2 linked regions of the Drosophila melanogaster genome follow. The protein of the gene in region 1 interacts with the protein of each later gene in a pairwise test. Each region holds a gene or a part of one and is shown on either strand. Other genes may lie near its edges. The genes, in order: Nep7 and RpL22-like.

The links.
Region 2: the proteins of Nep7 (region 1) and RpL22-like interact in a two-hybrid assay, tested with the Drosophila melanogaster proteins (one large-scale study listed by BioGRID).

What each region holds. Positions count from the first base shown.
Region 1 is NT_033777.3:27,953,042-27,957,836, forward strand, and holds Nep7 (neprilysin 7), read left to right. Parts: upstream 1-1,875; 5' UTR 1,876-1,979; coding exon 1,980-3,125; intron 3,126-3,189; coding exon 3,190-4,197; 3' UTR 4,198-4,285; downstream 4,286-4,795. Other genes in the region: CG4951 (uncharacterized protein), read right to left, coding at 1-44, 103-300, 457-905, 961-1,011; CG4884 (uncharacterized protein), read right to left, coding at 4,375-4,578, 4,631-4,703, 4,766-4,795.
Region 2 is NT_033778.4:23,245,885-23,249,600, forward strand, and holds RpL22-like (ribosomal protein L22-like), read right to left. Parts: upstream 2,010-3,716; 5' UTR 1,894-2,009; intron 1,842-1,893; 5' UTR 1,840-1,841; coding exon 901-1,839; 3' UTR 726-900; downstream 1-725.

The sequences.
Region 1 (4,795 bases):
AGCGGCGTGCAGGCTTGGCCTCAACGGAGCTGGATCTGGAATTCCTGCGAATAGATCAATAGGCTCTTAGTTCTCTCACATCCTAGCCTTCGCCTAACTCACTGCTGTGATGGACTGTGCGATCGCTTAATGCGGTTGCTCTGCTGCGAGGAACTGGGGCTGCTGGAAGAAGCCTTATCCTTTTCGCCTCCTTGGGAAATGGACCTGCGCTCGCTCTTGATCTTGGTTGGTTGGCTGGCCGTGGTGGAGCTCTTGTCATCCTCGTTGTCGGCGTCAATGTGCTTGGGCTTCGATTGTGTGCTGGAGGGGAAACATGCAGTGGAGAAAACATTAAAATGCATTCAACTTCGGTACATAAAATGTGAAAGGTGCAAAGGTGGTTCATAGCTATTGGGATCAAAAACCACACAATCCAAGCCTATGGAGTATTTGGGACTAATTAATAGGGTTTCCTACCCCGCTTTTGGCTTGGATCCTGAGTTTGCTACGCGGATCTTGCGGGATGTGGGTCTGGTGCCATTTGTTTCTGCTTCCGTGGCAAGCTCGCGCTTGGCGGGAATGACGTCCACAATGGTGGTGTCCTCTTGTGTTATGTACTGCAGCTGTAGGTCCAGGCAGAGATCCTTGGAGCTGGACTCCGTACCGGCCAGAAGAGCGACCGTTGCAGGATGCGACTTATTGGTCGCCTGGACGCGCACGATGATGTGATCGATAATGAGCTCGGTGTCCAGTTGGTAGGCATCCTGCCACTGCTTCAGGTTCTCGAACAGGCGCCATAGACCACACTCAATCCGGCTCCACCGATCCGCGGTCATCCAATGGAAATCATTCTTGGATTCCCGCTCAAAATGGGTCACAGGTGTCGGCAGAACTTTGACGCTGCAGATGACGCGGTGCTTCTTGTACTGAAATGGGAGCTGCTTTAGGACATGGCGGATCACACATCTCAGTGGCTTTTACCTGGTATAATTGCGAAATTAGTTGGCAATCACCGATGGCGGAAAATGACATTTTTATAAAATTGCTATGCGTCCTGATGTGACCGTAGCCGCTGACAGGCACAGCAACAACAATTCGGGGCGGATCTTTGGGCACACTACGAGCGCTTTGGTGGTCTATCGATTGTATTTTTTTATCGACGTTTGGGCGGCAAAAAAGTATCAACTTAAGCTGAATTCAATTCATAAATATTCATTATCTGGAGAAAACTGCAAAATGTTTTTTTGGAACGTGACAAGAAATACTTTTACGTTTTACCACAGAGATCTCTATAGAAAGTATAAAAATAGTAATTATGCATAATGAACATATTAAGAATCCACCTGATATATGCATTTATTTATAAAAAAAAACAACAAAGATAAAAAAGTGTTAAGTGTTAATTAGGACAAAAGTTCAGAACGTGTTCACAATGTGCAATCGTGTGACACAAGTGACGATGAGATTTTGAAACCAAAACTGAGAATTGTTTTTACTCTGAATGAATGAGGGGCGCTATCAATGAATCTCCCAGAACTTACAAATCCTTATCAACAGAAGCGTGTGGCTTAGGTCAAGTCTCGCCAAGAGAACAGCCGGACTACACAGTGCAGCAAAATCGTTCCCATTCTGCGAAAGTGGTTACCTAAAAACTAAGTTGGCTAGAGAGATAGCTTGGATGCCCATGACCTCCTCCTTATTATTCAAAGCAGTGGCTTAGAATGCGCACCAAAGATGGTGAAAGTGTGCGGAACGACGTCATAGTAATATAATTCATTATAATCTCTGTTGTCCAGTGCTGCTGGTCAACATGATTGCGAAAAAAAAGCACACGCCGATGGGATCGGAGAGATGCTGCTGCTTGCTCAGTTCTCAATCGCGTTCCGGATTAGGTAGTCGAGCTTGTTGGGTTTTTCAAATAATCCGGGTCGATCGATCACTGGCCGCACTACTTTATTATATTATACAAACTGCGTGTGTGCCCTGCGAATCGGACCAATATGCTCTCAATCTCGAGCTACTTTCGACTGCCCCTATACACGCGGCTGGCAGTTTGCATCCTGATCTGCGTGATTTTGAATGACTGCGAGGCCAGGAGTATTGGCGACGAGTCCCATGAGAACGCGATTACGGATGAGACGGCCGACTACCTGCGATCCCATGGCGCCATGATGAAGTCCTATATGAACTTCAGCGTCGATCCGTGCGACGACTTCTACGAGTTCGCGTGCGGCAACTGGAAGAACGTGAAAACGCCGCGGCAATCGCCCCATAGGCGGAGCAATATTCTGGACATCAGCTACACACTGATGGACGTGACGGAGCAGCTGCTGACCAGGACAAAGTTGGCGGAGGCACTGAACGTGTCCGCCGAGCTGCTCGTTGCACAACGCTTCTACAATTCCTGCCTGGCGGCCGAGCTCTTTCCGCGGCCCGCTGCCGATCCCGCTTATCTATCGGTTATCAGGTCGCTGGGTGGTTTTCCCGCCGTCGACAGAGACGCCTGGAACGCCTCCAGCTTCAGTTGGTTCAACATGAGCGCCCATCTCAGCAACTACGGCGTTCGCAGTTTGATCCACGAAGAAATTCTGCCGCAGCATCCCTTCAATCCGTACTTCAAGCTACCCGAACTGGGCTTTGACCATGTCGTCCACACCGCTCACGTTGCCAATACGAGCTCGCGGGCCTACCAGCTCAACGAGCATCGCATGCGTGGCTACCTGAAGGAATACAATCTCACGAAGGATGAAATCTCTGCCGTGATCGAAGGCGTCTTTGCTTTTTGGAGCGAGGCGCTCAGTATTGAGGATAAGTTCGAGAGCGATAGGGATAAGTGCGATTTGCTCAGTGAGATTGAGGAGGTGCCGCGATTTGGTCAGTGGAGGAGCTACTACGAGATAGCCTGGAATGGTATAGACTTTTACAACGGCTCGTCCGGTGGCGAATTCTGCGACTTTTACTATGTGGAGCTCGACAAGGTGTGCGCCAAGCATACGGAGGCGGTGGCCAATTATCTAGCCATGCGGTTTCTCTACCGCATGGACGACAAGCTGAAGGAGCCCAAGCAGCCGGAGGACCAAAAGGTTAACTGCTTGATGATCGTCCAGATGACGCTGCCAAATCTGTTCAACAGGCTCTACATGGCGGTGAGTTGGATGCTGTGAATATGTGAAGCTTAGCTTTTCAATTGATATCAACTAACTTTCATAGGAGCACTTCACCGACGAGAAGCACTCGGAGATCTCTGACATGGTGACCGAAATGCGAAAGGCCCAGCGACAGATCCTCGAGAGTGTGGAGTGGTTGGACGCGGAGACGCGAGCAGAGGCTCTGAGCAAGGAGGCCGGCATCACGCCAGTAATCGGCAGTTACAAAAACGAAGAGCTGTCGGACACTCTAATCCGCGAGATCAACAATCTGACCATTGTTGAAGGCAGCTATGCCCAGAGTTTGATCAATCTGCGAGTATTGGGCACCTATCTTCATCGCTACGCTGGCTTACATGCGGACGAGCTGCCCAAGGACACAAAGCCACTGACACTGCTCGTGGGAATGCAGGTGAACGCCTTCTACTACAATCTGGATAACTCGGTGTACGTGATGGCGGGAGTACTGCATCCGCCTGCGTACCACCGTTCATGGCCCGATTCCTTGAAGTTCGGCACCATTGGCTATCTGATAGGTCACGAGTTGACCCACGGCTTCGATACGGAGGGCTCCAGTTTCGACAGCGCCGGCGAAGTACGCGACTGGTGGTCCAGGAAGTCGGAGGCGGTATTCCAGGAACGGGCGCAGTGCTATGTGGATTACTTCAACCAATACTTGATACCGGAAATCAACCAGACAATTCGCGGCAATGAGACAAGGGACGAGAACATAGCGGACGCCGGTGGCTTGAGGGCCGCACTCACCGGCTATCGAAACCACATGAAGCAGCTGCAACGAAGTGGAGCGGATGGGGAGACGTTGGCTCACAAAAACGAGCAGATGCCCGGCCTCGACCTGTCGCCGGAGCAGCTCTTCTTCGTGGGATTCGCGCAGCTGTGGTGCGCCGACTACGAGCCGGAGCACTACTGGGAGGAGCTCACTGGCGCACATACCGTCGATAAGTATCGGGTGCTGGGTGCCGTTTCCAACAACGACGATTTTGCTGAGGTCTACAAGTGCCCACTGGGCAGTCCAATGCATCCGAAGGCTGAGAGTTGTCGGATGTGGTGACCATAAGTCGTATATAAAGGAAAAGATGTAAAATACTCTAGATGTTCAACTACAAAATAAATGAAAACAGGAAAAATAATGCAAATCGACGATATAGTCTTACACATTTCTGCAATTGAGTTAACTCACTCGACTTTACCCATTTACTCTTAATAGTCTCTTTATTTCTAATTGGTTTTAATGAGCAACGTGCTCTGAGGATTTGAAGGCGTTGGGTCCCCGGTAATTCTCGACCAGCAGGGATTTGTAGCGCCTCAGGTGGACGCTGAGTCCTTCCTCGCGCTCGCTGACGGAGAGGATTGAGACGCGGGCCACGACCAGATGGGAAGGATTCGATTGACTAAAGCCTCGGATTACGTCGATTTCATCGCCGACTTCCAGCTGTAAATGGTAAATCATAAGATTGAATTCGATCTATATATGGACTCCATACCTGGGCACTCTTTTTGGGCAGCTTCTTTCCATTGACGCGTATCTTGCTCTCGTAGAAATTCAGTTCCACTTTGCTGTGGGAGGTAAGACATCATGGTTATTGGGGGCATTTAGAAAACCTTCGGCTGTTTCTTACTTTCTCGCCATGCCCAGGCCAGCTTTCAGT
Region 2 (3,716 bases), on another chromosome or scaffold:
TTGGTACTCGTCTGCATGTCTGGAATTTAATTTTTTCTGGCATTTACAAAACACTTCAACCCGTTTTGACAAGAGTCGGCGATGACAGCAATTACCATACGATTTGCATGACGTTTATGTTTATTTTCGCTTTGTATTCCCTTCCAGGCGGCAATCGTGAATATTTTGCCCAGCCTTTGTGTTCTTTTGGCCAAGTCGAAAAGAAGCCAACCTGCGAGTGCTCAGGTTGATTTCGATTTTGACAGCTGCCTGCCTGACTCACTCCACTGGGCTGCCTCGCTGTTCGCATTTTGGCTGGATTCGCATTTCATTAGCTCGTTATGGACCACCTACGGCCAGGCCGGGCCAACTGCTGACAGAGGAGCACCCTCTGATCCCCACCCATGGTTTCGTCCATTTGGCAGACCCACAGCGAAGCAATTAAGCCGCCTGGCATCGAACACAATCCCGTCCAATGGGGCAATTTAAGGTATTTACAAAAGCGTAAAAAGGTAAGGAAAACAAGACTGGCTCCTCCCAATCAAAACATGACGAATGCCACTCGAGGCCCTCTCCGAGATGTCAATCGTTCAAGTTTAAGTCGATTCGACCGAGGAACGCTCCGCTCCTTCCTCCTAACTGACCGTAAAATGAAATCTTTAAGTTCTTCAAGGGAACTCTGCAGCTTCGGATGAGAATACATACATATATGATATACTCTTGTTAGGGTTTTTTTTTTTTTTATTGATATTTCATCGTTGAATATGTTGAAGCAAATGAGCAAAAATTGTATGAGCCACATTGAGAACTAGTGAAACTTCAAGTGGGAAATTTAACAGAAGTATACTGAGAAATTTAAGAAGTCTACACACTTGAACAGCTTTCATGGGATATACATGTTTTCGAAATGCGATCTTTGTTTTAGGCAAAGGTTTTTCCGCCATTGTCGTCGGCAACGTCGTCGTCGTCGTCATCAAAGTCCTTGTCCTGAATCTTAAAGTAGGTCATGGCGAAGGTGTCCTTGGCCGTGGACACTACCCGCAACCAATCACGCAGGCTGACCTTCTTCAAATACCGTTTGGTCAGATACTTGAAGTAGCGCTTGGAGAAGTGCACACCGGAGTGGATGATCAGCGAGAAGTTCTTGGTGCGCTCGAAAGTGACCTGATCCTTCAGCTGGTTGAGCTTGTTCTTTATCTTGATGTGGGTCTTCAAATACTGCTCGAAGTCGGCGAGGTCCAGGATCATATCCTCGGCCACGCATGCGCAGTCGATCACAAAGCGTTGCCAAGCCTTCTTTTTGGCCAGCCTTTTTCCACGCAGAACATTCTTCGTGCGTTTCGGCTTGGGCTTCGGATTTGCCGGAGTGGCGAGGCTCTTTTTTACACTTTTAGCTTTGGCTGCTGGAACCTCGACATTTTCGGCTTTTGGTGCTGCGGCAGCTTGTTCCTTGGGCTTTTCTTGCACCAGGGCGGCCTTTTTGGCGGGGACAACCGTGGGTATTTCCGCATTGCCACGTTTAGGAGGCGCAGACTTTTTCTTATTGTCCACCTCAGGGGCAACGGGTTCCGGCACTTGCATCAAGTTCTTGCGTGAAGCATTCTGGCCTTTCTTCGCCTTCGAGACCAACTTCTGGTCAGCAGCTTCGGCGGCCTTCTTAGCCGATTCTTTCATGGCCAAATCGAGATTCTTTAGTGCCACGGCCGGAGCTTTGGCCACCTTTTTAGAGGACAAAGGCGGAGCCGCAGATGGGGTGGCGGTTTCTACAGGAGTCACCTTAGCCGGGGCTTTCTTCGACGGCTGTGGGCCCGCCTTCGATTTGGCCTTGGAAGCATTCTTTTTCTGCGTCTGGGAACTCATTCCTATATGGCAAAACATGAGCACACGCCTAAAATTTTGAAACAATTAACTTACTCCAAAGAAATTAGTATCAAAAATAGGTTTAGAAACACCACGTGACTTCCTCCGTTGAAGTTTGGCAGGAAAAGAATTAGAGTGGCCAAGTGTAGCAACAATCAGAAAGTAACTGCATTTGCGATCCGTGTGACCTTGCTCACAATCGACTGTGCTTACGTAGAATGCGAATGCCAATTATTCGATTATCTTGGGCGGCATGTTTGTGAAAAAAAAACAGGAAATCTTTAAGTGAAATCACGAGAAATGAGTGTGGAGCAGGTTGGGATGTTGACGCTCTGATTTAACGCTGATTAATTGGCACGAAATTATTATTACCGCTTGTCAGCCGGGGATCAATTTGGCCTTGTTTGTCGTCTCGCCTCCAGTTCGGCCTCAGTAATTTGTAGTTTTCATATTATACCAGCTCCCTTTTAAGCTCTTTTATTATAGGGTATTGTGGTGGATCGAAATCGATTTAAACTTGCGCACACAGGTTCGAGATAAGTTACCAAAGTGGAATCCACATGAATCCACAGAGATAGCTCAACTTTTCCCAATGCTAGGCAAATTGAATTCCGAAAGCCTGTTTAAAGTGTCATCACCTTCCACTCTCTTTGTCGGCCAGTTCATTTATTTCCGAGTTGTACAAACATTTAGCTATCGCTTCAATATTTTTTAAGCCACAAGGAAATCCCTAAATTGCATAACATATCGCTTTGCAACGAGCGCCATTTATCAAATTCAAATGAAAGAGTTGGCCACCAACTGGGATTTGGGATTGTGGATGGGAGATGCCACCTCCTATCGGCAGGAAAAATAAAAAATAAAAACAAAAGCAAAAAGTGCAAGCCAAAGTGAATTCCCGCGGAGCGTTTAATCAAAACTTACCGGCGAACGCGTTCGCTGACAATGAGAAATTGCAACAAATTCGCGCTACATCGAAACCTTCTCCCTCGTGCTGTCTCTTTCTGTCTCGTTGCAGCCGTCTCTTTCGCTTGCCACTGCCAAGAGCAAACAAGGCTTAAAAAGGATGGCAGGAGGGGCGGGACAGGGGTGTCGATGGCAGCGCAAACAAAGCGTCGCGGAACGTCCAAAGAAATGCAGCGATCACGTATACGCACCCCTGGCCACCGAAACATAACCCAAGCCCATCTATCCACCTTCTCATACCCTAACAGAGGGTATTACTATTCAAATGGACTTTGGATCATCCTAAATTGTTTATAATAAAAGAAGAAACCAAAAGAGTGAGATTTAGGGCGACTTTGGTACATTTATATGACCTTTCCATACTCGCAATAGAGATTGGAGAAGTCAACCCTAGGGTATTTCGGGTACGTACCACTGTTTTTCCAACGCCGCATGAAGCTCCTGCAGTTAGGATGCTACTCGATTTCCCAGCCGCCGACTGGATATTGTTTTCTGGTAGTTTTGGTTCTTTTTTTTTTTGGCGGTTTTGTTTCGGTTGCGGATATGAAAAATGATGCCGAAACGATTTTTACAACCAAAAGCGCTCCCAGGCGCAGCCTCTTGCCGCGTCCTCCTCGCGGATTCGGAGATGCAGAGATTCGGAGGCAGGTAGAAGCAAGTGGAGTACCTCCCGCTCACTGCGAGCACTCGAAGTTGATTGATGGGCCCGGCATTGGCGATTGGGCGATGGGAAAACTGCAACGGTGGGCGTGACGGCCCTCCGCCCCCTGCGAAAAGTGGGAGGAATGATCGGCGGAGTCGTGCGGCTTCTGGCCCGAAATCAATCTGGCTAAACGGTAGCAAATGGGCGGATGGAAAGCGGAAAATGGGATTGGCAGTGCGGAGGCGTCTTTGGCCTGGGAGTTTGCCTC